Linked DNA regions of Rattus norvegicus. The protein of the gene in region 1 binds, or shares a complex with, the protein of each later gene. Links are inferred from orthologs where the notes say so. Each region holds a gene or a part of one and is shown in the gene's direction. Other genes may lie near its edges. The genes, in order: Lzts1 and Asb7.

The links.
Region 2: the proteins of Lzts1 (region 1) and Asb7 are in contact, whole or in part, in a crystal structure (PDB 8Y1U), measured with the Homo sapiens proteins. The link is inferred for Rattus norvegicus from reciprocal best matches to the Homo sapiens genes LZTS1 and ASB7. Residues at the interface, in NP_001349813.1 of Homo sapiens: Arg346, Glu348, Leu349, Leu352, Met353, Glu355, Gln356, Leu358, Leu359, Glu360, Lys362, Leu363, Arg364, Ser365, Tyr366; in NP_937886.1 of Homo sapiens: Asn46, Trp48, Ala56, Ile79, Phe82, Tyr87, Met90, His91, Asp116, Trp118, Val123, His126, Tyr127, Ser147, Lys149, Thr151, Gln155, Leu156, Ile159, Arg160, Phe182, Arg185, Tyr186, Ile189, Lys190, Arg210, Leu220, Leu223.

The regions. Positions count from the first base shown.
Region 1 is NC_086034.1:25,354,958-25,367,282, forward strand, and holds the end of Lzts1 (leucine zipper putative tumor suppressor 1), read left to right. Parts: intron 1-1,906; coding exon 1,907-2,704; intron 2,705-6,479; coding exon 6,480-7,142; 3' UTR 7,143-9,985; downstream 9,986-12,325. UniProt on the Homo sapiens protein: Involved in the regulation of cell growth. May stabilize the active CDC2-cyclin B1 complex and thereby contribute to the regulation of the cell cycle and the prevention of uncontrolled cell proliferation. May act as a tumor suppressor.
Region 2 is NC_086019.1:129,663,328-129,675,652, reverse strand, and holds part of Asb7 (ankyrin repeat and SOCS box protein 7), read left to right. Parts: intron 1-5,351; 5' UTR 5,352-5,469; intron 5,470-6,413; exon of another isoform or gene 6,414-6,537; intron 6,538-7,873; 5' UTR 7,874-7,924; coding exon 7,925-8,135; intron 8,136-12,325. UniProt on the Homo sapiens protein: Probable substrate-recognition component of a SCF-like ECS (Elongin-Cullin-SOCS-box protein) E3 ubiquitin-protein ligase complex which mediates the ubiquitination and subsequent proteasomal degradation of target proteins.

The DNA.
Region 1 (12,325 bases):
CTAAACCGGAAATCTTAGGTTTATCCTGCAGCAAAGGGCAGAGGGGAAGTTCAAGCCTTTCTGAGCTCTACTGGGACATAACAGGCATGGTTCAGGTAGGCCAAAGGCCAGCAAGTTCACAGGCCATGGAGGAAGAGAGGCTCTGTTTTCGCCTGGAAGACTGGACAGGAAGATGAGGGTGCTCTCTGGGAGCCTTGCGGAAGTACGCATTTTCCCGTGCCCTACCTGTGGTTTCTAGTCCCCTTGGCTAGAGAAGGGTTCCAGGGTTTCGTTCCTATGAAATGAGGAAGGATGCCCACAAAGGATGCTCCCAGTGTTCAGAAATCTAGCTCCTCCAACAGTTCAGGGCTCTGAAGCCTCGCTGCTACTGCACGTTGGAAACAGTTCTCCCATTCAGTCTCCATGCTCACTCCGGGGCAAAGTCAATGGCTTTAAAGCACAGGTTAAACACCACTTACCGGAAATGCTTGGGAACGGGAGTGCCAGAGGTCTCAGAGTTGTTGTCTTTTAGATTATAAAATATTTGCACAGGCATAATGAGATCTCTAATAACAACAATCATTTATGCTTTGTGTATACCTGACTCACAAAGGCAGACAATGATTATACAATGTTTTAAATAATTTATGCACAAAACAAAATCCTCTAATATGTGGATTTTTCCACTCTTAGCATCTTGTCTGGACTCAAACACTTGCGGATTCTGCAGAGTTTCAGATCTGAGATTTTTAGGACCAGGAATGCTCAACCTAGAATAAGAAAGGTGCCTGTGTTTGTGCAAAGTTCTCTAAACAAAGGCCTTGTGAAGGCACGGTTGTCTACTGAGGGAAATTGCAAGTTTCGGGGTTGCTATTCCAAATCGTCTGAACTAGAAGCAGTTAGCGGTTTATAGCCTTGACCTAGGCTCAGTAGAAGAGGCAGAGTGCAAGAAAGTGATGAGCATATACAGTCTGCTGTCCTTGCTGCACTGTACCTGAGTCCCCATCTAACCTCCCTAGAGGGCTGGGTCCAGATGGCAGTGATGGTTACTAACACAGTGCCTCGGCCACCACTGAAGGCTTTCTTAGGTACAGAGGGTGTGTGTGTGTGTGTGTGTGTGTGTGTGTGTGTGTGTGTGTGTGTGTGTGTATTTGAGACAGGGTCTCACTACGTAGCCCTGGCTTCCTGGAACTCATGATATAGACCAAGGTGGCATGGAACTCACAGAAATCTACCTACCTCTGCCTCTCAAGTTACATGCCCGTAAGGGGGTGTGCCATTATGTCCAGCCTTAAGAGTTTTGTCACTGTCACCATCATCTCCTCCTCCTCTTCCTCCTCCCCCTCCTCCTCCTCCTTCTTCTTAAAACGATTTGTTTACTTTTATTTTATGAGTGTTTTGCCTGCATGTATGCGTGTGTGCCAGAAGAGTGTGTCAGATCCCCTGGAACGGGAGTTACAAAATGGTTGTGTGCCACCACGTGAGTGTGGAGAATAACACCTCGGTCCTCTGGGAGAGCAGCTAGTACTCTGCACCACTGCCTCCAGCTCCCTCACAGCCTTTCGAAGAATGGCGTAGTGAGGTCGGTGAAACGGCTCAGCAGTCGAGGGCTTGCCGCCAAGCAGGAAAGACGGGCGACCTGACTCCACATGGTGGAAGGAGAGGACTCCTGTAAGTTGTTCTCATCCCCATGTGTATTCTGTGGCATGTGTATACACACACATGTATATACACCCATACTCACATGTACACAGAAACTTGGTCTATTCTCAGCCAGTCCAGAGCAACTGACAAGGTTTGCTATCAACCAAGAAGGGTTTCACTCGGGCTCCATGCTCAGGTAGGCTCGTGAGAGTGCACCCACAGTGAGAAAAGTGGGTGGGTGTGGAAGAGACGCTCAAATCTGTGTGGTCCTTTGCTTCCCCAGAGTTCAGACAAGGCGGCGGTGAGGCCCACTGCCTTCAAGCCTGTGTTGCCACGGTCAGGAGCCATTCTCCACTCTTCACCTGAGAGTACCAACCACCAGCTTCATCCCATGCCTCCAGATAAGCCCAAGGAACAGGAGCTGAAGCCAGGCCTGTGCTCAGGGGCACTGTCTGACTCGGGCCGGAACTCCATGTCTAGCCTGCCCACGCATAGCACCACCAGCAGCTACCAGCTGGATCCTCTGGTCACCCCCGTGGGGCCTACTAGCCGTTTTGGGGGTTCAGCTCACAACATCACACAAGGCATCATCCTTCAGGACAGTAATATGATGAGCCTGAAGGCTCTGTCATTCTCTGATGGGGGCAGCAAGCTGGCTCACCCAGGCAAGGTAGAAAAGGGCTCCTCCTGTGTGCGTTCCCCACTCTCCACGGATGAGTGCACCATTCAGGAGCTGGAGCAGAAGCTGCTGCAGCGGGAGACTGCACTACAGAAGCTACAGCGCAGTTTCGATGAGAAGGAGTTTGCCTCTGGCCAGACCTTCGAGGAGCGGCCACGGCGGACTAGAGACGAACTGGAGTGCCTGGAACCTAAGAGCAAGCTGAAGCCAGCCTCCCAGAAGAGCCAGCGCACCCAGCAGGTACTCCAGCTGCAGGTGTTACAGTTGCAGCAGGAGAAACGGCAGCTGAGGCAGGAGCTAGAGAGCCTAATGAAGGAGCAGGACCTGCTGGAGACCAAGCTGAGGTCCTACGAGCGGGAGAAAACCAACTTCGCCCCTGCACTGGAGGAGACCCAATGGGAGGTAAGACCCCACTAGTCCGACCCAATGGGAGGTAAAGTCCCGCCACCCTGCCACGGCTTTACTGATATCCTCCCCATCCTTGCTGGCAAGGCAGTATCAACACGAAGTGCCTCAGGCCAATGCCGCTAGAGAGACAGCTTTATGACCAAGGAAGAGAATGCTGAGTGGATAGTGTGGGGATGCTCTGAGTCAGATCTGTGTTTCTTGCTCATTCCATCATCTCATCATCTCATGGCCCTCAGTAGCCCCGTCTTTGGTAGGAAAGCCAAACCCAGACAAGGGAGGCTCAGCCAGGCTGCCTAAGGGCTGACCTCACTTATGAGAAACGCCTGTGTTTGTCTGATCTGAGGACCTGGGAGAAGGATTAGGCCTATTTGATGCTTTGGGGGAAAGAGTCCTAACTATATCATTAGTGGTAGGTCTCAGTGATGGAATTGCCCTTCCTTGCTGAGGCATAAGTGGAAATTCTACTTGGTTGGCTGAGATTTAAACACAGGGGAGGAAGAAAAAGGACAAACACACAGTCATTCTTTGGGGACAGGTTTTATTGTTTTGTTTTGTTTGGTACTAGGGGTTAGGCCTAGGACCTCCCATGTTCTAGAAAAGCACGCCATCGCTGATGTATTTCCTTCAGTCACTTTGGAATGAGTCATGTGAGTCTGGCCTAGCTGGAGAGCAGTCAGGGTCTCATATGTACCCTGCTAGTAGGACAGCAGCCTTTTTTCCCTGAGTAGCATGCGTGTGCACACACACACACACACACACACACACACACACACACTCACACTCCCATGGCCCAGGTATGTGTTCATTAGTGCTGCTGTCATTCACTCCAGAGACTTCTCCGTAGGGAAAGATGACAATCGTTCTATTTATATCGATTAGCATCAGGTCTGGATGGCATTTGGCTTACTGTGAGCACCACAGCCCTGACTGCTCAGAGCTTCCTGTCCTCACCCTGTGCCATGACAAGTAGTCACAAGACAGGTGAAGAAAAGAACCTTTGTGTATTTCAGAGACAAGTAGTGAGTGTTGGCTTTTGTCGTTCATCCTCATGGCCCTGTCTGAAACTAAGCCACGGACTGCCATGATCTTGTTCCCACCTTGGCTAATCAGTATACTTAGCAAAACAACAATAAGGAAAGAGTTATACATCCTCACAGAAATATTGTTATAAACCCGTTTAGCTTAGAGACTTTAGAAAATGCTATGTTCTTCTATCTAATCCTTATAACCATATTGAGACGTAGGAGTGTTACAGTTTTTCAATTCATCTTTTTTTTTTTATCTTTTTTTTTTTTTATTAACTTGAGTATTTCTTATATACATTTCGAGTGTTATTCCCTTTCCCAGTTTCCGGGCAAACATCCCCCTCCCCCCTCCCCTTTCTTATCGGTGTTCCCCTCCCCACCCTCCCCCCATTGTCCCCCTCCCCCCAACAGTCTAGTTCACTGGGGGTTCAGTCTTAGCAGGACCCAGGGCTTCCCCTTCCACTGGTGCTCTTACTAGGATATTCATTGCTACCTATGAGGTCAGAGTCCAGGGTCAGTCCATGTATAGTCTTTAGGTAGTGGCTTAGTCCCTGGAAGCTCTGGTTGCTTGGCATTGTTGTACATATGGGGTCTCGAGCCCCTTCAAGCTCTTCCAGTTCTTTCTCTGATTCCTTCAACGGGGGTCCTATTCTCAGTTCAGTGGTTTGCTGCTGGTATTCGCCTCTGTATTTGCTGTATTCTGGCTGTGTCTCTCAGGAGCGATCTACATCCGGCTCCTGTCGTCTTTAAAGAAACTGACACACGGATTATCTGTGGTCGCTGGTGAAGTGACTTGGCTAGCATCTGATAAACGATAGATTCTAAGAGTCAACTGCAAGCACATGGATCAGGCGTTCACATTGTTATTATTTATTGGGGGAGGGGGCATATGCTTGCTACAGCCCAAATGTGGAGGTCAGAGGTCAACGTTACAAAGTTGGTTCTTACTTTCCACCACGTGGGTCTCAGGGATAGAATTCATCAGGGTTGGAGACAAATATGTTTGTCTCACGAGCCATTTTACCATCCCCATCCCAGAGTTCACATTTGTAACTGCTTGCTGTCTCCATGTCAATGTGTGCCTGTGTTGCTTGGTTCATAAGCGATTCGATCTGGATTCAAAGCCTGTGCTTTAATGTGACTCTGTCCTAACTCCCTCTATCAAACTAATGTAGGCTTGGTGTGTTACTCAAGTTGTCTTTGTTTGGTCGTTGTAACAAAATGCACAAGATATGCAGTTTACAGCAAGAGCTTATTCTGCCTCACAAAATTAGAGGGTTCACTTCATGATCAAATTGTCTAACAGACCCTGCTGCTTTGGGCCTGTGATGAAGTAACATATCACATGGGAGCATGTGGCCATGCAAGTGTCACCTCATGGCCAGGAAGCAAGGTGAAAACAAATAAGGGTCCAGAGTCTGACAGTCCCCTTCAAGAGCCATTGACCTAAACACTTTCTACCATGCCTAACGTCTTAGAGGTTCCACTACCCCTCACTCTCAGGGTTAACACACTGAAAAACTTTAACATCTGCGCTTTGAGAGACATTCAAGGTCTGTACTTGGCCGTGTCAAAAAGTTCTGGGCTCTAGCTATGCATGGTGGTGAGGCTAAGTGTTCTCCTCTACATTAGAAGTAAAGGGGGAACTTTACTGGGAGAGGAAATAAAGGAGAAATACAGGGTTTTATGCTAAGGGTCCATTGTGTAGTGCCAAGGCCCTGGTCTTTCCTCCTCCTCCTCCTCTTCCTCCTCCTCTTCCTCTTCCTCCTCCTCTTCTTCCTCTTCCTTTCCTCCTCTTCCTCTTCCTCCTCCTCTTCCTCTTCTTCCTCTTCTTCCTCTTCCTCCTCCTCCTCTTCCTCCTCCTCTTCTTCCTCCTCCTCCTTCCTCCTCCTCTTCCTCTTCTTCCTCTTCCTCCTCCTCTTCTTCCTCCTCCTCCTTCCTCCTCCTCTCCTCCTCCTCTTCCTCTTCTTCCTCTTCCTCCTCCTCCTCTCTTTTGATTTATGGTGGGGATCAAACCCAAGGCTTCATGCATATACTAAGCGTGTACTTTTTAAAAAAACTTTTTCTTTTATGCTTTCTTTCTTTTTTAGTCAGAAGTGGGAGGAAGTACCTGAGACAGCCTTGATATGGATAGGCTGGCGTGTACTGCCACTCCTAACCATATCATGACCCCAACTAATGCTTATGACCTCAAAGTACCAAGGCCCCAGAGACACGGTGATCTGACTCAAATGTGCTCTTGGCCCAACTTTGATGGCCAATGGGTGTTCAAATGGCGGAGAAGCCAGAAAGGGAGGAAGACTGCAGTTCATTGTTTGGCAGATGGATACAGGACATGTGTGGGCCAGGTTGTATGGCTAGCTTTGGGGGTATAGCAGGACAAGGTGAAATGGTCCTTCCCCCAGAGATGAATGCAGTGGTGAGGATTGGGTGTTGGCTCCCTGAAGCCAGTATCCCTGGTGTTAAAGGTAGGTGATAGAGCTCGGAGCATTGGCTAGAGTAAGCAGGTGATTGTTGAGTTGCATATAACCTTGGGTATGAGCACAGACTGGAGTGTAGAACCTGAACTGGAGATGAGGTAGACACTTGGAAATGCATAGATTGTTTACATGCAAAAGAACTGTTTGAGGTGTCTTGTCAGGAGTAGCCTGAACCCTTTAGGAAGTGGTGATGTCATCTCAGTTAGGATAATGCCAATCACTTCTGGCACTGATTCTCACCCTTTCTCACCCCACCCTTGGCAGGTGTGCCAGAAGTCAGGTGAGATCTCTCTTCTGAAGCAACAGCTCAAAGAATCCCAAATGGAGGTGAATGCTAAGGCCAGTGAGATCCTTAGCCTGAAGGCACAGCTGAAGGACACCCGGGGCAAGCTTGAGGGAATGGAGTTGAAGACACAGGACTTGGAGAGCGCCTTGCGCACCAAGGGGCTAGAGCTGGAGGTCTGTGAGAATGAACTGCAGCGCAAGAAGAATGAGGCAGAGCTGCTGAGAGAGAAGGTGAACCTTTTAGAACAGGAGCTGCTGGAGCTGCGGGCCCAGGCGGCCCTGCATCGAGATGCAGCACCCCTGGGCCCTCCAGGGATTGGGCTGACTTTCTCAGAGGACATCCCTGCTCTGCAGCGGGAGCTGGATCGGCTGCGGGCTGAGCTGAAGGAGGAGAGGCAAGGCCATGACCAGATGTCCTCGGGATTCCAGCATGAGCGGTTGGTGTGGAAGGAAGAGAAGGAGAAAGTGATCCAGTACCAAAAGCAGCTGCAACAGAGCTACTTGGCCATGTACCAGCGCAACCAGCGTCTAGAGAAGGCCCTGCAGCAGCTGGCCCGTGGGGATATTGCAGGGGAGCCCTTTGAAATTGACCTGGAGGGAGCTGACATTCCCTATGAGGATATCATAGCCACTGAGATCTGAGGGGCTACCTCGGGGATGGAGGGCTGGGGACTAGACCCCAGAAAGCAGGGAGGACTGAGCCTGTCCCAAGAGCCCCTCTGAGAGAAGCCACCTCTGGGATCCAGATTCAGGAGTCCCCAGTGGTGGGTAGGGGTTACCACATAGCCTTTCCTCCCCTCCTGCCTTTCTCAGCCTAACTAACCCTGCTGCTTATAAGACCTTGATCTGCGAACCCCAAGCTCTCCTAGAGGTATGCTCAGGGAGCTTTATGTGCTGGTTGAGGTTTCTCTTGACTTTGGTCTCATTCAAAGTAGTGAGAAAGACACCCCATCAGGAAAGGGGGCAACTGCCATACAGGCCAAATGGCCACCCAAGGACAGAAACATTTTCCCTGTTGTCCCTAAACCCCCACCATCCCCTGGGCATCTTGGGATGCCTTTGGGAATAGAAAGAAGCCATGTGTAACCAGAAGCCTTGGACCTCGTCTTCACTACAGCCTGTTCTGCTCTGACTGTGGTGGTGGAGGGGTTGTGTCGCCACGTAGTTGAGCCAGCAAGTCATGGGAGGAAGGGGTAGATGGACAGTCCGCCATTACGGAACCTTTGCAGGTCTCAAGAGGTCCGGTGGGAGTTGAAAGGAGAGAACCAAGGCAGATGGGGAGTGGAGTCTAAAATGAGCTGCATAGCCCCTTTGACCTCAGTGGTCACTCTGTTTAAAGCCATAGACATTGGGGGTCCCAGGTGGGGTACAGGGAACTGACATGAGACATAGATTCTCAGCTGTGCCAGGGGATCCTCCTCAGCCTCCAATATTGAATGTTTTTTCTTTCCAGAACACTAGACGCTGGCTCAGATCCAAAATAGCCCATCCACTTAGATAGTGTGCATGGGAGCTGGACATTAGCCTCCCTTGTCTGTGGCCCAAGTCAGCAGCTTCTCTTTCCCTTATAGCATTGTCAGTGTGCTGATAGGCTGCCGTCCAGGCAGGAGAGATACAGGGTGCATAAAAAGAGCCTTATAAATATCCCAAACCACCCACTTTCCTCCCTCCGTGTGGCAGCACCCCAGGCTGTAAGAATTCAGTCTAGAAAGCAGCATGTGAGCTTGTGGGAGCCTGGCCTTGTCTTTTGAAGATAGCCAGATCTAGGGGCAGAGGGAAGTGCAGTTGCTGGGTTGAAGGAATTATCTTCTCTCTCCTTCCCACTTCCATTCTGTGTTTTCCAAAGCAAGCCAGATCAAGCAGGCAGCCAAGCTGCTCCATATTCTATTTTTGGCCCTTACCACAGCTGTTGTTGGTAGGACACCCAGCCCTTGCTGGATTCCTGAGCCATGTGTTTGCCTGGTGGGCGGGACCCAGGATATTGGAGATGTAAGGGAGGGTCTGTGTGCTTGGTAGTCCAGGAACCAACCTGAGTTCTACCTCCCTAATGCTGGTCCTTAAGGTGGATCCCAGCCCTAGTGACCTTGTCTTCCCGTGGGCTTTCTTCCCTTCCTTGTATCTGCAGGCTAGGTGCCTCCCCTGTACGTGGTACTACTTTCTGTCCCTGCGGTTAGATTGGCCCTCTCCTACTACTGACTTTCAACAGCACACTATTCTCTGGTCTACCACTGCCCAGAGTCACATGCTCACTTAAATCTGGAATCTACAGGCCAAAGACGACTCCCCCAACTTGCACGGTCGTACACTCCACTGAACACAGGTCACAGCCCAGTTTAAAGAGTCCATAGCCCTCAGTTCTCAGTTGTGTACCAGTCTGTGCCTTGTCTGAGTCCTTCCCATTGAGACTGTCCAACAGACAGAAAGAAAGATGGGGGTTTCCTGCCTCTCTCTAGATTGAAGGACTCCTTCCTCTGAGAGAAGTCCAGAAGTCCAGTGCTATGCTATGGAGTCCTTGCCCAGAAGCAGACACTAGGCCTGGGCAGACCTGTGCTCTCTCTGTGCAGGGTGCCTTCTGTTCACAGGGGTTCTGCCCAGTAGTCCTGCCGAGGTCATCGTTGAGACCTCTGCCTGGGGACTGCTTACCCTTTAAGATGGCAGATGCCTTCCCAAGACTGCTGTCAGCCTGAGGTCCCAAGGTAGCTCCAAGACGCAACTGTGCTGTAACCTAATAACCTTGCCTTCGTGTGGGCTTTCTTTCCTCTCCTGTCCTAAAGCATCCTCACTGTTTGTGGCCCATGCCCATGTTGGACGGCTAGATGGAACAGTGACTGAACAGGGCCTCAGGTGTGCAGGTTCAGGGCAGACAAGTAGTCTGCCACACCTCGTCTCTCAGCTCCACACTGCTTTCCAGAGGTGTCTGGTTCCAGACTGTGGCTGCTCTCTGAAGGAAGAACGGCAGCTAGCATCACCTCAAGGAAGGGCCTTGTAGTGTCAGACTCCCACGGGGTACCTCCTTGCTCGATTTTGTCCTCTCTCGGCACACTTGAACTTTAGCATGATAACGTTTTCAGGGGATCGGCATCACTCCTCTGAGAGACACTTGCTGATCCTCTCGTCGCTGGCTCCAGCTTGGGCTGTGTCTCAGGTAAGAGAGATGTCCAAGGGAAAGCCAGGCTGGACCAGAGATTTCCCTAGGACCTGAGTTCTCCTCAGACGCCATAGAACAGGCCACAGTGCCCCTCAGTGGAGACTGCTTTCCCTCTTGAACACTGGAGCCCTCAGTAGAGGCTGGCTTCGGATGGACTGGCATTTGGAAGACCAAGTACATAGTTATTTTTCTCTTCCCTGTTTCTGGTTTGCTTTGCTCTTGATGGCTTCGTTTTGTTTTATTTTTGAAGTTCTTTGTTGGCTCCGTAAACTATTTCTGCTACTTTTATGTTTTTATTTATGAATAAAGAATGCCATTTCTCATGTCTTCACAGTCACTTTTGTCTCTTCAAGCTCTTATCTGTTCCCCTGCTATGATATGCCAGGCAACTCCTGGTGGTCTCTCCCTTTGGAACCTGAAAGCCAGTGTCCCTTTGTGCCAGCTGGGGCGTTCCTCACTTAGAAGCCTTGAGGAAGGCAGTCCTGTGACCTGCGTAACCCTGCCTTCACCAGTCTGGTGATCTTACTTGTGATGCTGTCAGCCTCTGGGCTGACCCAGAGGAAGGAGAAGGAGACCAGGTGCCAGTGACTTCAAAAGCACTCCTTCCCAGCCTCAGCCTCTCCCCTCCTCCCTCCACCAGCTGCTAGCCTCCTGGCCAGCCTTCAGCCCAGTCAGTGCATATGGCTTTTTGGCAAGGGACTAGAGTAACTATTGTTGTCACTTCTCCAGGCCCCTAGGTGAGAGTGCCATTAGCACAGCCACCATCTGTCCTGCCTGCATGGTTCTAACTTCTCCCCTCCCCCAACACACACACACTCCCCAGTTCACCTTGATGGGCATTCCCTGTTTTGAGTTCAAATCCTAAACCCCAAAATAGCCACTATGGTTACAGAAGAGAGAGGGACACACAAAGAGAATCAAAGGCCTATGGGCATAAAGCAGTGCCTCTGGTCAGTAGAAATTGCTATTAGGGAAGGTGGCCAAGATCTCTTCCTAGCCCCAACTAGGACTGTGCTTTTCATAATAGCCCTACACTCTGGATGGCTGGCCCCTCCTCTTCACTGGGGGCAGGCCCAGGGGAATTAGGCAGGAGAGCCATGCTGCCAACATTAGCATAAGCTCGAACATTTTGGCAGCTTCCACTTTAACATTCTTGGGAGTCCTGGGTTGCCACGTCAGAAAACTCTTATTCTGTTGGTGCAAGAGCATCGCTTATCCCAGCATCCCAGCTAGAACTATCCAGGACCAGCCAAAGTCACGTGACATACATCAGGGATTTCTTTAGAGACCCTGCCAGCATTCTGATGGCCAGAAACCATGACACTAAAAAAATTTTTTTAAATATACAAAAGTACGTCAACCTTGCTGTCAAGGTTGCCCCGCTGCAGAGAGACAGCAAAGTGGGGAGCAGTTTGTCTCCCCACACCACCTCCTCCTCCCATTCTGATCCAAACAAGAGAAAGAGGAGGAAGGAGGGAGAGGGAGAGGGAGAGGACTTCTGACAGCAAGCGAGCCAGTCCTCAGCCTCCGCAGGCGGTGCAGACAGCACACAGTTGCAGCAGATATTTTTATCCAGCTCTTAAAGTCTGTGCACACCATGTGTGAGGAGGGAGGCCGGCCAGGCCCCGAGCCTCCCTGAGCATCTTCAGCAACTCGTCTTTACTCAGTTAATTCTGGAAGGCCATGCTGTCCCCACGTCTCTCCCCAGTCCAAGTGTTGCTTGCCTCTCCTTCCTGAATGCTGGGATCCAAGGCACGTGCCACCATTTCCAGCAGGTCAGCCTGCTCTACGTAGTGAGGACTATATAGAGGGACCCTGCCTCAGAAAACAAAAACAAAACAACAACAACAAAAAAACCCAAAACAACAACAACAAAAAAAACAAAACAACCAAAAGAATCCTTTCTTCTTAGAGCGTTTACATTCTACAAGCAAACGAGCTTTACAAGGGTCACGTACAGGGTGGTACACGCTGGCTGTGTAGACAGTGATGCGTCTGAAGGGGTGACAAATCCATTGGTACAGAAGAAGGAAGATGTCAGCTTGGATCTTTCCTCAAGGCCTTTCCCTTAAGGATCTCTTGTCTCAGAGCCTCAGTAGACAGCCTTCCTACTGAGAGAACCTGCAGTTCTCCTCTGACTGCTGTGCCCTGGGCTATCCCACCCCCGTCCCCCTCTCCACCTGACTGACCTATAACCTCACCTGCCTCCCACCTCAAACAAGCTCTATTGCCTCCATCGGAAGCCTCTGGGAAGCTTCGGGCTTTGCAGGTGTTTCTTCCACGCACACACGAGAGTGGAAGGTTGGTGATGTGGCGTGAACCTTGCAGTGAAGCTGAAGTTAACATGGCGTCTCTGCTTCTTTCCAGATAAGTAAATTTCAAACAAAACAAAACAAACAAACATGATTGAATCCTGGGGATGAAACCCAGGGCCTTACACACACTAGGCAAGTGCTCAAGCACTGGGCTTTACCCCAGCCTTCATTGGATAATTTGACAATGAAAAGTTGAGCTTCAAGGAATTCATCCGCACGTATTGTTGCTATCGTTGGCTTGAGGAGGCATGAGCCACATTAGGCAGAAGTTTGTTCAGCCTGCTGTATGATCCATACTTCCTGCCCAGCTCTGTTCTACCAGCCTTGCCCTGTGCTTTGGCAGCAAGCCACAGTTGACCCCT
Region 2 (12,325 bases), on another chromosome or scaffold:
TATATTTCCTGTCTTTTGCATGTTTGTACACACACACACACACACACACACACACACACACACACACACACATACACACACAAGTCCCTTTGATTCTACTGGTCCTTAAGACATAAAGATAATTTTTAAGGGGCTCTGAGGGCTTGCACATTTTTAAGACTTGAAACTACACACCAAAGAAGGAGTATGCTATGAATGGAACTTTAAAATAGTACGTATTAGCTCTTCTTTCTTCTTCTTTTTTAAATTTCTGGTGCTTTAAGACAGGGTTTCTCTGTGTACAGAAACTCTTTGTAGACCAGGATAGCCTTGAACTCAGATCTGCCTGCCTCTGCCTCCTCAGTGCTGGGATCAAAGGCCTGCGCCACTATGCCTTACTGTATGTAATTGCTATACTTTCTAGCCTGAGGAATGGGGACCCTGAGGCAGGAAGATGGAGAATTTGAAGCCAACCTGGGCTGGCTACAGAGGAAGACACAGTTTTAAAAAACAAAATGAAAAGAAAAGAAAAAAACTCCTAATATTCACCAGTGACAGTACTATGGAGGAAAAAAAATATATATATATATAATTTTATATATCAAGGCAAAATCTCAAGTTGAAGAGTGGTTGTTATTATTTAAATACAGAACTCAGGGCTAGAGAGGTGACTCAGTGGTTAAATATGGAACTCAGCAATATGATGCCTTCTGGTTACTGTATAACTTTTTAAAAATTGGTAATAAAATATTTGGATTGTATTTCAGAGATAGAATGCAGTATATATCTTGTATCTTCTTGGTGGGGTAGAGAGTATTTTTCTGCTTTAGAGTGAACCTAATTTGCTAGTGTTCCTAAGTGAGGGCTCTTTTTACCTGAGGTTGTAAATGAGGATCGCTAGTCAGACTTGTAAAGACAGAACATTGCTCTGTCTTGGTTCCCAGCCAGGTTATTGTTGCCGTTTAAGTCAGAGTACATGGATCTGCTCAGCTGACAGCGGGTTTCCTAAGATAGCGAGAGATGTATGCCCACCCCCCACCCCCCCACCCCCAGAGAGAGGCGGAGTGGGGAAGTTGTAATAATTAACATAGTTGAGAATGTTATTTAACATTTAACGTTTTCTTTAGTTTTTACATTTACTTAATCAGGACCAGCTCAATAGTTTGTATTTCTATATCTGGGAGGGCGTTTACCTGATTATTTAGTAACCAAAACCAAATTCATATCACAAAGGGAGAATAATTGGTGCTAGTCAGTGCTAGCTAGGTCTTTAGTATATTATGACTACTTCTGTCCTTTATACTGAAAATGATGTGTGATTCAGTTAGTTATATGTGTACATTGTATATAAGCTAAATATATAATGTCTTATTTTGTTCCTGTGTGTTTATACACGTGCACAGACTTGAGTATGTATGTGCAGTCTTTAGTGTGTCAACATCTAGCCTTAGTAATACCATTCTTGAGATGGGTAAATAGAGTCAGATACAGTTTGCCTATCTGAAACCTGACCTTCTGTCTTTTCATTTTCACCTCAATACATTCCCTCAATGTAATGTTCTTGGAAACTTCTGAGGCACTAGTCTGAGGCTGCTAACTTTGACTTGGCATGCCTGCGTTAACAGGACATTATTGACAAAGCTTTTCTAATACCTGTGGTTTAAGCTTGGAGTTGGGGCTACATAAATGATTCTAAACTTTTCTTGGTCACTTCACCTCACCTCAACTCATCTCACCTCATCCACATTTTGGGAAAATCACTAGGTTTTCTGCTAGAATTTATGTGATTCATAGTTTTACATGATAATAAATTTTTGTGTCACATAGAGGTCCAGTCATTTGGAGGAAATATGATATCCTTCCTTAGGGACATGGACACTATGGTATGTTGGGTGATACTAAAATAATACCCTCCTTATTTAGGGTGTAAGGCTCTTGATTGTGTAAGTGGAGCCCAGCAGGCCTGTTGGCCATGTTATATATTGTGATTGGGCACTGTATTTTTCTGTATCTGGGTTCGCTCTGGGGGCTTGTGAGCCATTGGTAAATTTTTAGTTTTTTTTTTTTCTTCGGAGGAAATGTCTTCAAAGTTGCGATTTTCTTTTCCTTTCCTGGTCTCCTCTGCAAACAAATGCTCTTGTCTTGAGCCAGGAATCGTTTCCTTGTTTCTTGTGGAACCGTTACCTTGTTTCTTGTGGAACCGTTACCTTTTTTCTTGTTGGTTTGAGACCAGGAAACAATTCTCCTTTGTGTTACTTGGGAAAAGTTGCAGAATTAGGCAGCAAGCCTGCAATCTTAACACTTGGGAGGCTGAGGCAGGAGGATCTCTGGTTGCCCGCCAGTTTGCACTGCTTCAAAGGCCCAACGAAACAAAACCTACAGGGAAGAAAATAATATACAGAAGTCAATAATAGCTAGTCTTGTGCTAAAGGAAATTGAAAAGAGGTCAGACTTGTTGAAGGTTATGTATTCTTGGGCAAATTTTAAGCATACCTTCATTTATGGGTACCTTCAGTCTATTATCTCAATATAGTTTTTTTTTAAACTATATTAAGGAAATTTGGGGCATAACTGAATAGATTTCATTTGAAAAGAAATTAGGCAATGCTATCCAATGTGGTCAAGTGTATTTTGGAGACCTTGGTTGTTATCTTTTGACTTTAGTACAGTGGAGAAAATAATTTGGCAAAATGTAAGCATTGTATTAAGAACTAAGACCACTTAAGAAAACGAGACACATTTGGGAAATGAGTCATTTTTACACCTCTAAAGTCTTCCATCTTTGTTTATTATTTACTTTTTTTCTGACTAAAACCCAGAATGTAATTTCTAGTGGGTCTGGTATCAGTAATTGCTAGATTCTCCACCCATCATTAATTTAAGAGAACTTTCCATCGATTGTGTATTGTTTAGGACATTTCTCCTTTGTCAAGAGTCCTGGTTTTTGAACTTGCATTCCCTGCAGGAAACCAGGCTCTTTCTTTCCCATCAGTGGCTTTTCTTGTTTTTTTCTTAATAGGTATCTTGGCTGCTGAGGTTGTGTTTGTCCTTAAGGACCATGGTGCCTTTTTTCCTCTTTATTTTATATGTCTCTAAGTGACACCAAGAGGAAAGTCACTTCTAGTCTGATACCTTGGACTTTGGGGCATTTTAATCATTGCCCTGTATAATTTACAATGGTGCAGACAACAGAGATTAAGTGTATAGGGCATACACATGTGTGTTTCCTCAATGATGCTGTTGTAGCACATGCATGCAAGGAGTGACTGTGCACTTAAAAAAAATCTATGATTATCTATAAGTCCTTGGTATTATCAGAAGAGGAAAAAAAATCCTAAAATATCTCATATCCTTAAAAGTGTCATTTTTAAGAAGCTGTCAGAGAAATGTCTTTCTCTTGCAGAGGACCTAGTTCAGTTCTCAGCACCCACAGGGTTACACACAACTGTCTGTAACTCCAGTACCAGAGGATCCGAAACCTTCTTCTGGTGTCCTCTAGCACCACACTCATGTGTGCACCTACTTAAAATGTAGGCACTCAGATATAAACAAAATTTTTTTTTAAAAAATTAGAAATATTTTTAAATGTTATTTTAAATGTACAAGACTGTCTTCTAGGAAGCTGTGAGCTGTGCTGCGCACACATTAGGCACTTAGGGGCTATCTCCTTGTTCTATTAAAGTCACTTACGGGGGAACTGTTACATTATTACCTTTCTTGCATTGGAGAATTAATTTGATCCTTTTATCTCTTAACACACTGCCTAGTACAAGTATTAGTACATACTGTTTCATGCTTCCTTCAGTCCCACCTCTCGTGTCTCCTCTCTGTCATGCCCAGCAGTCTCTGTGGAAGTGGTGATAGGCATTTGGAGACCACTGGAAGTCTGCAAGGACTCTTAATGGCTTGAAGCCACATTGGGACATTTTCATGACCCTAGGGAGGCAGAGAATACTGAAGACACACTTAGAAGTAAGGTGTTTGATTTGGTTTTCATTTTTAGAAACTAAATTTGTTTTTGACAACTTCATACCTGTATATTTTGTCTTCTGTTTAACTCTTACTGCCCTCCCTGCTCCTGCCTGCCAGGTTCTTCCCCACAATGGTTTTACCCAGGATGGTCTGTGTGACCCCAGCCAGGAACCTGGTGGGCTTAGTGCTGGGTACCACATGATGCTGTTTACTCTTGCATGTAGACGCATGCCATTATGGAGAGAAGTGATCAGTGGTCTCTGGTCCTTGAGAGCTCTGAAGTTGGCTCCTTTGTGCCTGTGGCTGTGGCTTTCTTTGAGCACTTCCTTGCCTTCAGGCACTATAAGATGCTCCAGGTTCATGCTGTAGACTTCCTGCCTCAGTCTTAGTTTCTGCAAGGTTTCTTCTGTGGTATTTATACTTGGCTTTGAAGGAGTTGTTCTGACCGTGTCTACTCCATTTATTTGAAAATAATAGGCACAGTTTGCACTCAGACTTCAGTTCTGTGTGCAGGCCAACATCTTTGCCTATCTTAAAGGCTTCAGAAAGGGGAAAATAAAACATCAAGTGCAGAAAAGGCAGATGGGAACCATTCTAATGTCCCCTTGCACAGCCATCAGCCCCTGTTGCCCCTCTTGCCCTGCACAGGTCAGCTCATCAGATGGCCTGTCCATTTCCATGTCTGAACCTTTAACTTCTAAAGGCTCGGCCCCCCACCTCCAGAAAGGGTGTCGGATCTCCCAGTAGGTTAATTGCTAGAGTGATTTCCTTGTGATATTGTGGGGTTTTTATTGTTTTGTTCTTTAAGAATTCAGTAGAGAAGGTAGTAAAACCTCTGGCTAGTTAATGTTTTAACTAGCTTGTTGTGTGTAAGTAAATGTTTTTACTGGGTGCCTGGAAGGCATAGGAAGAGCCACCATTCAAAGGCATAAGCCCCATTTACTCACCTACTTTACACTTGGCCCCTGGCAGCTGCTGTGTTGAATGCACACATTTTTTTCCCCTTTTAGTTCTCTTTAAAAAGAGCAGGTGACTGATGGTATCCTTAAAAAGTAAAGGAAGCAGGCCTGAGAGATATTCTCAGCAGAAAAGACAAGATTCTTAGCTTGTAGCCAAATTCCAAATGTGGGATTTGTTATTTTCTTTATTTACTGTTTTTTAAGAAGCTTGGGGTGGGGGCAGCACAGACTCTTAAATAAATCATACTTGATTGTGTCTAGAGATTGTTGTAAGCAACAAGATCATGTGCTCCAAAACCTTCTCTGAGTTCTTCTGTCAGTTTGTTGTAAACTCCTGAAACATAAAGTCATCAGAAAGTATAATCAGAGAGTAGACTGCAGACAGCGGTGCTTTCTCTCTTACTTTAGGAAAGCCCATGATTGTGATTGGTTTGTTTGTAGGTGAAGAAGACTACTCCCCTGAGGCCGGGGTACACTGGGAACCCTTCCTACCATGCTGCATGCACGCCATGGTTATTAGACAACCTGTCCACCGAGAGAAGAGACATTCTTCTATAAGGTAAGATGACCCAGGATCATCAGCCTCCTAGGCTATTTTGAGGAAAATCCTGTTTAACTTTTATTTTTCTTCTTGAAATCTGTTAATGAGTTGGTTGGGGCTATAGCTTAGTAATAGAGTGCATTTAGCAGGCTTCAGGCTCTGAGTTCAGTCCCTAGTCTAATAGAATAGACTTGCACAGAAAAGAATGGGCAAAATAGTGATTTAAAGAATAAACTAATGTAGCAGGCACTGAAAGAAAAACCTAGGTTTCTTTTGATGTTGTTTCAGTCTTTTTCCTATAGAGGAGACCTCTCTAGGTGCCAAGATAATTTTCTATTAAACACACCTGTGGGGCCTGGGAAAGGCTTAGTGGGTAAAGTGCTTTAGCACAGGCATGAAGATTGAGTTTAGATCCCCATCTACTCAGGGAAAAGTCAGGAATGAAAACTTCCATGGGATTCCATGGGATATACACTTGTCACCCCAGCACCAGAGTGCAGTGACAAGGAGGATCATAACGGCTTATCTAGCCTGTCTAGCAGAAATGGTAAAGCCGAGGTTCAGTGAGGGACTCTCTCTAAAAGAGTAAGGGAGAGCTATAGAGGAGGGCGCCTTAGTGTATCTCCACACTTACACTATCCACAGAACTCACTCTGAGCCAACATGGCGACATGTACCTGTGACTCAACACTTGGTAGCTAGAGATGGGAGGATCAAGAGCTCAAGGCCAACCTAGGCTACATAGGAAGTTGGGAGGCCAGGCAGAGCTAAATAAGACTGACTCAAAAAGAATAGTAAAATAAATCAGAGCTTCAGAAGCGTTCTGCTAAAGATGATGGTCTGAGTGGACAGGAAGGGGTTCCATTAATGTGTGCTGGTAAGTTTTGTTATAGTCTCTTATAGCACTGAAACTAACATGAAACCCATTCTGAAAGGTATTTTTTTTATGTTAAATTTCTAAGCCAAGAGACTGAATTTCAAGGAAGTAATTAAGTGAAGAATCAAAAGGAAACTTGCTTATTAAGAGAACAAATTATCAAGAAATTTCTCATTTTCCAATTTTCTCTGAGGAAACAGCTATTTGAGGTAATAGCTTGATATTTTTAAATTATATCACTGGGCGATATCGCTGAGACTATAGTGATGTCATTATTATATGTAAAAGCACATCAGATGTTTGTGTTCCCAGCCTGTTTTGGCTCCACCAAGCTAGGCTTACTTTTCTTGTGTTCTCTAGTTCATGATGAGAAATTTTGTAAGAAAAAGTATTAGTTGCAAAATTATCCTTGGATGTCTAACCTACATATGAGAACAGAATATCTTCAAAGGACTTTATCACTTTTTTTTTCTTTCAAGCAAATTTACTTATAGAAATGGAGGTTACCAACCAGGAGATTCGTCTAATTGCTTCTGACAAAGCAGCCCATTTGGAATGTCTTCCTAAGATCTTGTCAGTCTGGCTTTCTCTGTCTATCTCAAATGCTTCAAAGTATGCAGACAGGCTTGTACCCCCACATGAGAAGTAGCCATGTTACTTTGGGCTTCCCTGTGTGCATGGACAAGCTTCTTGTCTGCTGGGTTTGAGGACACACTTCTCCATGACCTGCAGAAGATGTGGGGTCCTTAGCATTAGTGTTCATTGACGTAATTTCATCATGTGGTCAATCCACAGGTTGCTTAGCATGCTATTTTGAGTATTTATGAAATAAAACTTCTGGTACTGAAATTAGAAAAAAATGTTTTAAAAGAATATGACAGGGAAGAGAAGACAAACATCGTGATCAGGTAGCCGAGGTAGGAAAACTGAGAAACACACGCACATGTGTGAATATAATCTATTTTATCCAGTTCCTTCGCTCAGCTGCTACCCCCCAGGCTTTATTACCTTGTATTAAAAATAAGATGCTGATGTGGATTGGGTCAGAGACTTGGCCTAGAGACAGCCCCTCCTTTTCAGTTCCTCCTCCAGGCTTTAATGGGCTGTTTTTTGCTATTCCATATTTATTGACTCAGACTGTGATAAAATCCTTGAGTAGTTTGTAACTTCCGTCGGGGTGGTGCATCGTGTAAGTCAGACTTCCTAAGACTGGTCCTACTGCAGCCATCTTAGCGTCCTGAGACCACCGTCCACTTTACCAGGAGAGAGCTGTCGTGACCAATGGAGTTTCAAGTTTTCAAAAAGACTGCAGAAAAGATTTTTCTGTTAAGTGGGTGTTTTCTGCCCCGCTTTCTCTTTCAATTAATTTATAGCCTTAATGCAGCTATGGGAAATTTAGGTCTAAGCAGATGCCTGCTAGCCAGTCTTGTTGAGCTGCTCTCCATGTCTATACTGATTTAGGGAGCGAATAGTTGTGTGGTGGTCAGTGAGCACAGTGTGAAGAGAGACAGATTCTAAATTGCATGTGCTCTCCCTTCCCGAAAGGCTGCCTCCCGTGACCTAATGTCTGGTTGGTGAAAAGCAGACTCTGCTAGGATGTTACACCACCACTGCCGGAGGAACCCTGAGCTCCAGGAAGAATTGCAGATTCAGGCTGCAGTGGCGGCCGGGGATGTTCACACAGTACGAAAGATGTTGGAACAAGGCTATTCCCCAAATGGCCGAGATGCCAATGGCTGGACCTTGCTCCATTTCTCTGCAGCAAGAGGAAAGGAGAGGTGTGTTCGAGTGTTTCTGGAACACGGAGGTGAGTTCACTGGATGCGAGGAGAAAATTGTAATGGCGTTTGTGGAAAACGCACTTGTGCACGTTTGTTTGCACGTGGATTTTAATGGTTCGCTTGCATTGCTGTTCAGTGTCTTATCTGCTCCTCTTTGCAAAGATGTTTGACAACAAAACACTAAGTTTTTTGAGTTGTTGAGTGGGTTTTACTCTGGCACATGTAGTTTCTGCAGATTGTCAGGCAACCCCAGGTTACTTCAACTGAGAGCCCTTATTGGGGCCAGTTGCCCTTGGGTGTCAGAAGCAGAAGTAGTTGTGGTGTCTGCCGTGGGGGAGCTGCCCAGGTTTCCCTTTTTGGAAATTGCTTAAGCAGAGGAGCCTAGCATAGGTCCCTTTAAACATTTTTGACTTTTCCTATCCTTCATACCTTCCTTAACCTTTCCTTCTTACTTCCTTTTCTTCTTGTTGTTCTTTTGGATATCCTGACTTTTCTAGAACTTACAGTGTGTCTACATATGCAAAAAGGCTGCTCTTATCTGAGCTCTGATTCTGTAGACAGACTTGGTTGGTGACCGCATTTGCCATTTTATGTGTCTGCTTCAGAAAACTAGACATTTCTATAAGACTTTGACACTAATCTTCTCAATTGACTCCTCTCGCCAGTGAATTTCAATTTCATTCTTGCCCTGAAGATGGGAGGGGGATTGTGCGTGTTCCTATGAGGTGTGTGTGTGTGTGTGTGTGTGTGTGTGTAGATATCACTTCTGTCTACATTGTAGTAGGGTGTAGAACAGCTTGTCTGGGCCACTCTAGGCCCTGGATTGCTCATCAGCAGTTATTTGTTTCATTCTAGGAGTGTACTTTGCTACAAGACTTGCTTGCCTTCTAAAGTACAGAAGGCGTTAGCAGTTCCACAGCCCTCAGAAAGGCTGTGTGAGTTATGGGACTGTATGAATGCTAAGGCTACCATCAGAGTCTGACTCCAAGATAAGGCTAAATCCAAGCCCAAGAGTAATCATGTGTCCCAGTGGCCTCAAATAGGACTAATGTGCCCTAAGACATTAGCTATAGACAGAGTCCAGACACATGAGTATTATCACCTTAAAACAAAGCACATCTTTAGATAAGTTTCCGACCGACATCAAATCCCATTGGACCTGCACAGGTCTTGCCTGCCCCTACTCAGAATGGTCCCTGGGCCTGAGTGACCCTGGGTGCTTAGTCCTCTGGATACTTCTAGCACACTTGTAGAAATTGTGCTTCATGTAGTTTTTAGTCTACATATGACACAACTGTTCTGCCACAGCTGTTTTTCACTCAACTTTATGACGTATTTTTGTCCTATCAGTTGTAGTGTGTGAGCAGTCATAGAAAACATGTCACAGCTGTGGCTATGCTCCAGTCTGACGTCTATGTATATGTTAGTGAGTGATAAGGGAGAGGGACAGTCCACGGCAGGGTCACAGTTGACTTACGGGCTACAGGTCCTAAGCAGCGCTCTCTCCCCCACCCCGTGATGATCATTTACATCCTAAAGGGCAGAAGGCGGCTGTGTGGCAGACTGTGTATCTAGCCTGCGTGAAGCCTAAGGTTCAAGCCTTAAAACTTTTAAGAAAAGTGTGTGCGTGCCTGTGTGTGTGTGTGTGTGTGTGTGCGTGTGTGTGTGTGTCTGTATGTCTATGTGTGTGTGTATGTGTGTGTGTGTGTCTGTGTGTGTGTGTGTGTGTGTGTGTGTGTGTGTATGCGTACATGCACTCAGTGAACTCTGCCATTCCTGAGTCCACACTGCACAATTTCGTGCATTTGTAGAGTTGGGTGCCCAGTCCCACAGTTAGTATCTAAAGTAATCGTTACTACTACAGAAAGCAACCTCAGTGAGTTTTGTTAGAAATACGTTCAGTCTTACCCTGTTATCTTCAGTAGAGTAGCTGCTCAAATAAATATGTTACCATTTGGATATTCTTTCAACTTTGTTCATTTTAGTATTTTAGAAAGCATAAAATTTTCTCAGCAGACTTTTGAGAAGGTGGTTCATAATCTACCTGCTTAAAACCCAGAGTAAATATTCTATTGTCAGTGCCTGGAGGTGGCCACTAGCTGTTCTTCAGTACCAGATTCTCCTTCCAGAAACTGGCTTTTGTTGACTTTTGTGCACCGAGGCCTAAGTGGTTTCTAGCCCTTCTTTCTAGCCGGCCCACTACTCTGTTTAATGTTATGTCAGTGTCCTGACTTCTGTCACCTAACAGCTTCCTTGAGATAATTCCTTATCAGGACATAGTTAAGCCTGAGATTCTACTTGTTGGGTGCAATTGATTTGCACTTAGCTTCCATTGTGAGGCATTTGAAATTGTTGGCATTTTTTTGCTAGGGCCAGTATAGCAGGGAGAGTCCTTGACTGGTCTTTCTTAAAAAAAAAAAAAAAAAAGCAACAACAAAAGCCCACCCTTGTCAGAGTTTCTCCCTTAACCCCTAGAAGCACTGCCAAGTCAGACCGCACTTATGGATGCCTATACATTGTCCTCCAAGACCTACAGTTCCTTCTTGTGCCCTCCTGGGACTGGGTGGGACAATGCCCCCCCCCTTCTCAGCAGGGTATTGCTAGCTGGCTGGCTCGTCCTTGTGTGATGTGCTTGCCCCTCCCAAGATGACATCCGAATATCAAACTGTGGCAAGTCTGAGCCTGTCCTTGTCTTCCTCCCTTGTTCAGGTGAGGCTTGCTCCGGTGCCTACCTTTGTTAGCTCCGGGTGGAAACCTTTCTTCTAGCTTGTAGCGTTCCCACGTTCCTCCTATTGCTCTCACCATACACTGGACACATTCTATCTTGCTTTTGCCTTCTGGTTTGTGTCTGTTGGATCTCGGTTAGTAAACACTTCATGGTGTAGGGTCATTACTCACCTGCATCTTCTTCTCAAGATTTTGTGGTACTTGAATCATCGGTCTGTCCAGAATTGGTGTTCGTGCATGAGAATGTACAATATCATTGCTCTTCCCCACAAAGGTTGCCCAAACTTCCCTTCTTTCCTCATGGCTGGGCACTGCTGGGTCACATACACAGCTTTTACATTGTGCTTCCACCTCCGAGTTCTCATTCAGTGCTGCAGGACCAGTGTGGTGCTGTTTGTGTTGTTCTGTGAGAACATTACCCTACTGAAACGAGATTCGGAGAATGCGCCTCCTCATCCCTCTCACGGCAAATTGTAAAGCAAGTTTGGAAAGGTTAAGTAAGAAGGAAACTCCTGCCATGGTCGTCACTGTCAGGCTGAGGCGTCAGTGCATAGCACATCCTCCACGTAATATCCAGGCACATCTGCCAGTGGCCCTGCAGTCTACGAGTGCCGCGCAGGAGTCTCCGGACGGTGTACCCACTTTTGTCCTCTCCTGAGATGTGGCCTATTGCTTGAGCTTCTGCATTCTTCCTCTCTTGGTAGCTTTCTGTCTCTTCTCTTCTTCTTTTTCCCACTCCTTGGGGGGAAACCTCTTTCCTCACCAAGTCTGGATTGATCTTCTTCACATTATATTGCCCTGTCCCCACCTGGTCTCTAAATAATGTGACACTTCTAAGTAGAAATGGAAATTAAATCCAGTAGGGACTTCTTATTTCTCTGCAAAGAATATTCTCAGTCTGTCACATACTCAGCACAGCAGCTGGTCCTTTGAGCCCTGCAGCCACAACTCTATGCAGCAGCCCCTCTCCCTTCTTGGTTGGGCTGTCTGAGCTTAGAAGCTTAACCCCAGAGGTCATCGTAAAGCCCCTTCCGTCGTGGTCCACTTTTCCTTGCATATGACTGCTTCCCCTTTAAGTCTTTGGCACTTTCTCAGAGAAACCACCTGCTTCCGCTAGAGCAGGTCAGGTGAGAACTTTATTTTCGTTCCTGTTAGATGCTGCTGCTGGGTCCTGTATGATGCTCTCCCCCCGTGTAATATTGTTCCCTGGACCTTAGTGCAGTGCCAGCCATAAGCATGGGGAGGGATTTTAGCATCCTGTTCAGCGTCTGTAGCTCCTGTTCACATGAAGTTCCCCGAAGGAAGAACCATGGCCATGATTGCTCCTAGTGAGGAAGAGAACAAATAGCAGGAAAATGGTTTTTCCTGACCTCATGAGACAAGACTCACCGTTTCCTTAAAAGCAATTTAAAAGCTGAGTTAGGATTAGAAGCTGCCTAAATTAGTGATAGCTGCTTTTCCAAATCATCCAATAGGGAGATGAGGAAAAG